Linked DNA regions of Drosophila melanogaster. The protein of the gene in region 1 interacts with the protein of each later gene in a pairwise test. Each region holds a gene or a part of one and is shown on either strand. Other genes may lie near its edges.

What was found. The genes of interacting proteins can lie anywhere in the genome.
Region 2: the proteins of opa (region 1) and CG34168 interact in a two-hybrid assay, tested with the Drosophila melanogaster proteins (2 studies listed by BioGRID).

The regions. Positions count from the first base shown.
Region 1 is NT_033777.3:4,851,244-4,855,864, forward strand, and holds the start of opa (odd paired), read left to right. Parts: upstream 1-1,569; 5' UTR 1,570-1,862; coding exon 1,863-2,811; intron 2,812-4,621. UniProt on the Drosophila melanogaster protein: Transcription factor essential for parasegmental subdivision of the embryo. It is involved in the activation of wingless (wg) in odd parasegments.
Region 2 is NT_033779.5:16,134,196-16,137,135, reverse strand, and holds CG34168 (uncharacterized protein), read left to right. Parts: upstream 1-1,863; 5' UTR 1,864-1,974; intron 1,975-2,041; 5' UTR 2,042-2,047; coding exon 2,048-2,230; 3' UTR 2,231-2,422; downstream 2,423-2,940.

The sequences.
Region 1 (4,621 bases):
ATTTCGAGTGACACTTGTCGCTGGAGCTCTGCGGGACTGGGTGCCTGCCAGCTCGGTGCACTTTCCGCTGCTTTATGGTCTTGCCCGTCTCCCAAAATGGCATTGGGGTCGGTATGACATTCGGACGACTATGGACTGTCGATTGCCGTCCGCTGATTGCTGATTGCCGCTGAGTTGTTTTGACAATTTAATAGCCGAACCGCTTGGCGGTGACGCTTTATGTCACAATTTGCCCCAATTAATTCATTGCGGAAATCAAGGTAATTAGCATGGAATCACATGGTCTTTTCTTGCTCTCATTCTCATTTAAACTTTACCAGGAAATATTGTTTTCTCAAACGATAAATTCAGGGCAATATATTTGATTAGAAAATACTGTTTTTGAATAAAAATTTGATTACTCAATATATATCCAAATTCAATTTGATTTTAATTATTATCGTTTTAAAAGCTTAAGCAATTTTTAATACTCTGCCAGCAATTACATATCAACCTTAAATTATCTACAGATGAGGACTAGTTCAAAACACGAATACTAAACGAAGACAATTTTGATGTTAACGACCTTCCTTTTGCATCGCTCAGTTTTTGGATTGTAAATAGAAAAAATCATATATTTTGAGAAGAGCGTCTGACTATATACATACAGCATAGTGTTATACCATATTATCACAAAGCAAATGTTTTGTATGAAAATAAATTTATACATTTTTGCCCTATGCAGGCGAAGTATCACTTCACAGTCTGCCCCAAAAGCCACTTTGCCGGGGCACTTAACACTCAGCAGAATCCAATCAAGTCGATTGATACAAGATTATGTATTGATTCGACTACTGCTTATTGAAAATTCCATAAATTAGCAAATGAAAAACAGAGCGTTTGGCGCTAATGAAATCTCGTACGTCTTTATGGCGCAACCTAAACAAAACGGCTGGAAATCTCCGATGTCCGAGCACGGAATGTGCTTAATATCATTAAAATCAATAAAATAAACAACTAATTTGATAAGCTGACAGCTGGGCTACCCGAAGTGGCGGGCTATTCGTCCGCCGTGACAATGAGGAGCGGGCTGGAAAATGCATCCCCGCGAGCTTTCAATTGGCTGCCCGTCGGTCCAATCAGCATTTGGGCCCCCTGCACAGGCGCACGCCGCACGCTGTCGGCCCACCACCCAATGGCCAACCGCAGTGGGTGTTAATTTTCGCGAAACCAGTTTGCCGAGCGAGAGGGCGCTATGGTCGGGTGGGTTCCAATTGGACTGAGTGCGCAGCCTCTGTGCTCTTCTGTCCGACTCTGGAGCATGCGAGGAGGCGGCCATTTTCTTAGAGTTGTCGCACTCGCACCCATGGCTCAGGCCTATCCGACAGAGTGGTGGCTTGTGCCGAATACACCATGGCAAGCGCAACTCACCACAGGCAGGTCATACGCCTGGCCTGCTCGCACTCGCGCTTTCGTTACCCTCTATTCATTTTACGTCGTGCATAGGTCGATCCCATTCGCACGCATGCGATCGTCGGCAGATATTTTCACGAGGCAACACAGCAGCGAGTTAGAATTTCAGGAGCATTTCAGTCCTGCTGCGCATCTTGAAACGTCAAGTCTTGGCATTCGGTTAGCGTCAAGTCTTGCTGCGATTCGAACGCCCCAGAAACGCATCGCGCGCGAGTGCATTACGTAAATAAGTATCAAGTCGCATGCGAAATATCTAAGAGCGAAATAAGCGCACAGTATATACAGCTAAGTGAGGTGACCTCAGTGCGTGATGGGCTCATTGGCCTAGCAAAGTGCGAATCGAAAACTTGTAGTTCAGTTCTTTCTGAATTAATTTTAAAAACATATAAGCGAGCAATAACACTGTAACCATGATGATGAACGCCTTCATTGAGCCGGCTCAGCACCACCTGGCCAGCTACGGGCTGCGAATGTCGCCCAACACCACCGCCAGTAACAGCAACGCGCAGCAGCAACAGCAGCAGCAACTGGAGATGACCCAACAGCAGCAGCAACAACAGCAACAACAGCAGCAGCAACAGCAACAGGATCAGGAATCCGCGGCGGCCACTGCTGCAGCCTATCAGAACTCCGGATATGGGCACTTTAACAGCTATGCCTCCCGGGACTTTTTGCTGGGCAGGAGGGAGGCCGAGTACGGTGTGGCAGGATCCGCCGGACAGGCCTCCGCCGCAGCGGATTCCATGCTCTTCTCCGGCTTTCCCGCTCAGGCCGCGGAGCTGGGCTCCGGGTTCGGACAACACCCCTTCCACAGCCACCATCACCACCATCAGATGCGAATGGGCATGGCGGATGCCTACGCCGCCGGCCACCCGTACAACCACCACGGCAACTTCCCGACGGCGGCAGTGCACCACCCGGTCGTGCACCACCCGTCCCACCACGCCATGTCCGCGATGCACCCGGCCGGAGCAGGGGCCTTCCTGCGCTACATGCGCCATCAGCCGGCCTCGTCCGCCTCCAGCGTTAAGCAGGAGATGCAGTGCCTCTGGATAGACCCCGACCAGCCGGGCCTGGTGCCCCCGGGCGGCAGGAAGACCTGCAACAAGGTATTCCACTCGATGCACGAGATCGTCACCCACCTGACCGTGGAGCACGTGGGCGGACCCGAGTGCACCACCCACGCCTGCTTCTGGGTGGGCTGCTCTCGCAACGGACGCCCTTTCAAGGCCAAGTACAAGCTGGTCAACCACATCCGCGTCCACACCGGCGAGAAACCTTTCGCCTGCCCGCACCCGGGTTGCGGCAAGGTCTTCGCCCGGAGCGAGAACCTCAAGATCCACAAGCGGACGCATACAGGTAAGTGTGGCGGTGCATTCCGCTTTATATTTAAACCATATTAAACCATTCATTAAACTAAGAAAATACTTTTATTTAGTTTTGGTTTGGCAGTCAAATTCTGTGTGTAATTATTCCTGTTTTATAAAGATCTTAATACTAATAGAAAGTCGAAGCCTTATGCAGATTTTAACCGCTTATATTTAGAATAGCACATGCTAGGTCTGCAATCTCTTAGAATTCACCTTGCGTGGGCATAACCCTTGCCCGCCTGGGCAAATCCCGGACGTTGTCGATGTGAGCGTGTTACCGACGGCAAAAGTCGTTGCAACGCCCACTACCTGGCTTAACCCGCCACTGGCCGGGCGGGTCATCTTTTATGACACCTGTAAAACCTGCGCCCAAAGCTCTTCCGCGCCCAGAAAATCCCGCAAAGATGTTGTCCTTACGGCTAGGATTACTCTACGGCTTTAGGTTGACTTCGACTTTTGGTCTTAGTATTTCCCTAAGCCTGCGACTTCTCTTGACTTTGGATTTTGACTGGCATGTATTTAACTACGTTTGGAAACTTGGTCAAATTTGTAAAGGAACTGAAAAATTTAGTTTAGCTACTCCTTTGTTTTTTATACTTTAAGCCTTGTTGTCGGCTTCAGATTTTGTATTATTTAATAATAATGGCTTACTATTACTTTGATAGCCAACCGCTCTATGCAAATTCTCAATATAATTAATTTTTCTTAAATCCATCATTAATCATGCCCATTTCAAGCATTTCTCTTTCAATTGTCTTTCAAAAATAAATTAAAATCGCTTTGCAGCTCATAGCCTGAACACTTTTGAAAAAACATAGCCATAGTTGGAGGCTTTAAAATACAATTTATGCGGTATAGTCGTGATCTATGAGAAGTCGAACTATAAAGCCAGAAACGGAGCTTAACGCAAATTAATGACTTTGATTCCAGTGGCTGTTGAACTTGTTCCATTGAAATTTATGGCTGAGCATGTAGGGCTCATTAGAAGCGGCGAAACACAGCCATTAAAATCAATTAACAAGTGGAAGTTGGGAAAGCAAACATGAAATGCGAAAACACAAAACAAAGTTTCGCATAATTGGTGAAAAGAGCGCCAATCAGGTTAATAAACTTTCCAGCAAATATCGCTTGGTCCTGGATTATCCTTGATTGACCTCAGCCTTGGCGTAATTAACTTGGAAATTGGAGGAGAAGAATGAAAATATGGCCAGCAATATTCCGCAATATCCAGCATGCTTATATTTTGTTGTTTTAATGTTGGCTTTTGGCATTTGTTGTTGCCTCTTTATTTCTATTATTTTGTAATTTGGCCTCATGATTCCAAATTGAATTAAAATAAGACGTCGGGCTTCATTATAGCTTCATCTTGTAGTTACCGCGATTATAAACTCACAAAGAAATTCATAAATCACAGAATTAGCCACACAAAAAAGCTATTTCTGTAAATCTGTTCGGACAACAGTATTTTCTTTTGCACACTCATCGAAAGGTAATTAAAATGTTTCGATTTGATTTCGAGACGCCGCCATATTGTGTTCGATTTTGGAACAATCATGTGGCATTATAATGAGTTGGTTGCTGTATGATGATATTTTTGACTAATTTCATATTTCTTTTCTCCGCCGTGATGCAGCAGAAAAGTGCATTTTAGGACCTCTGACTGATTTGTGTGTGCCTATGATTGGTTGACCTGGCTACACATTGTCGGAGATAGCCAACATATTGATTAGCTTTCAAGTGGCCGGCGCACAACTTCATTACGGATCGGGATCGAGCTGGGATCGGTCTGGTATCTGGCT
Region 2 (2,940 bases), on another chromosome or scaffold:
TACAGATTGTGTATTAAGTTTAATTTTTATTTATAAGTTACATAAATGAATAATTAATATTTTATGGTTTTAAATTAAATAAAGTTTTCTATTTGACTATGTAGAATCTATGTGAGCACTTGTAGCTTTCCTCATATGTATGTATATTTTAAAATTTATTGTGCAATTATGCATTATTAGTTATGATTAAACATTTTAATGGAGTTTTCTTCCGCTTTTAAGCTGTGAGTTACAAACAAATAAATCAAAAACATAAGAACGGAACCAAAAACTTATCGCTCCAAAACTTCCGCTGCACGGACGCTCATAAAATGGGGGACATTGAACTTCTGAGCGGGCTGAAAAAGGCATTGCTGAAAACTGTAAAAATACCAGCGAAGAAGCCGGAAAAAAACAGTGGAAAAAAGTCACATCAACACGAAACATTAAGCTTCACAGTCACAACATATTCGGCTCTTCGATGCATTTTCCTTAAAGTCGCCATGGAGTTCAAATCGAATGGGAGCGCACGCGCCTGCGAATATGCAATGCTGTAATACGAGACCAACACGCGATGGAGATGATGTTTGGTTACGGAAGGGGATACGGGAATTTTCCCGGGGTATTCGGGGTTCCGGAATCGGAACAGAAAATAAGCTCAACCAGACCCAAAAGGCCACCAAACGAACGGGCTATTTACGAAGGGCGGAAGTGCTTTAATTTAATGTTGGTAAAAGATAAGAAGTTAATCCGATCAAATTTTCTTGGCCTTTCCTTCATTTAATTCGATTAAGTAATAGATGAGATAGTGATGTTGGAAAATCGATGTACATGAGCTTTATAAGTAAATAAACTTGTAAAATGTACAGAATTCTTCATCCTTCAGAGTTTTTTTTACTTATTTTCTTAAACTCATAAAAATTAGGAACTTCGAGATGGATTAATTTACACTCAGCCTTACAGCTTATTTGGGTGAAAACGTGAAAAGTGTTGGGGTAATCGACTCAATTAGCTATTGCATAAGCACACTTTGCACACTCCCGCGCCAGCCAAACAAACACCAAACTCAATTAGATGCCATAACTAAATAATCACAAACACATTTACGCCAGCAAGAGCTCTTTTCAGTTGAAGCAGACCGGTTGGTAACCAAGAAACGTGGCAAAAAAAAAAGAAAAGAAAACAGAGAACCAGGTCAACAACAGAAACAACATGAGCAACAATTTTGAAACAATGAAATGACGACAACGACAGAAGCGGCAAGGCATGCCTGGAAAATTGCTTCCAAATGCTCAGAAGCCAGAGTGGAAATATGGGTAGAGTCGGAAAAGTGGGTGGCCTGGGTGGCTGGGGGACATTCCAACATGTGACGCACGTGACAAAACTTGTCAAGTGACTTTACTTCACTTTGACTGCGAATCCCGGCTCTGTTGTCCGTAAACAAGAAGACGGAATCCCGGCTGTGAAGAAAAATAGGTTTGTGTGCATTGCCCAACACAAAATGCTTAAGAAAACTCTGCTCTTGGTAAAACAATGAAAGGTGGGGCAAAGAGGAAAAATCAGTCGCGGCTTGGCTTTTCCGACTTGTTGCGCCTTCGGCTAAATTATGACATCGAGAGTTTTAGGGGAATGGGAAGTCCTTCGGGACGGACTGAAGTATTTTTGGAGGAGCAATGGAGTGGAATTTTATGGGACACACAAACAATCGGGAACGGTTTTATGAATTAAAATTCTTAAAGCGAATTAGATAAGAGGCTAAGAGGCTAACTGTATATATAGTTAATCAAATTTTAAAATTTGGAAAAAAGCATTTTAAAAGCAGGCCATGAAACCACAACATAGAAGGCCATGAAATCAAAGTTAAATCTGTAGAACTTTGTGGACCAAGCTAGTGGCTTTAGCTCATTATAGTTTCGGTTCTCCAACAGAAAACATCTATTTGTACGACTACCAAATTTCTAGGACTGAAAATCCTACTTCCGTAATCAGGCTAATGTGAGTGTGAACAACAAACGAATTTGTTTCTTGAAAATATCCTCGATTCGTTTCATTTCGTTTTCAGAATAAAATGTGCAATCCAGGAATGTGCTCGATGCCCGGCACTTGCTGTGGACCGACTGGCGGACTGGGACCCTGCCTGCTCTGCGGACCCTACAATGGCCAGTGGTTCCGTTCGGTCAACCACTGTTGCGGTCCTTGTGGCCCATATGGTTGCTGCTCATGCTACGGGCCGTATGGTGGACATTGTTAGCCTGCTTAGAAGGAATGTAGGGTTTCTTTATCCGCGATCTGGAACAGGAGCTTTAAAGATTGCAGCCGTGAGGCCTTGTCGAAGATGAGGAGCCACGCTGAAAAGTTGTCAGGCAAAGTGGATCCAAAGATTTGTGTTCGATGAAAGATTATGCCATCAGAAATAGATGTTAATAAATTATACGTATAATTCAAAAATAGACCACTTTAATTTCACTTCACATGTATTGCTATCAACAGTTAGCAAACCTAATTAAATATTTGGCATGCATTCTGTGGAAACAATCACAAAATTCCATCTCGTAATTTGCCGTTTTTGGTTTTCTTTTCAGTCCGCCGGGTGCATTTAAGGCTAAACCCCATTTGATTGTAAATATTTGGCTCGTTTACGGCTAACGATACATCGGGGACCAGCCAAAAAGACGTGTAATGCTAATGGGCCTGTTGAGTGCAAATTTGTTTACGAGTAAAACACCACTAAAACAGATGGGCTTGCTGATTGCTTTCAATTTTATTTAATCGAGGCACCCCGCATCAGATCGACCAGAAAAATTGATATCGTTAAACATAGTGAACAACAGAAACGGTAAGTTTAAAGAGTATATCATCGTGATACGGCTACTTGGTGCGTTTGAGTGCTTTGCTAAGACTGGGGAAATACTCGTCACTGTTGAGATCAGGAGCTTGAGGTTTTCCGGACATCTTGGATGG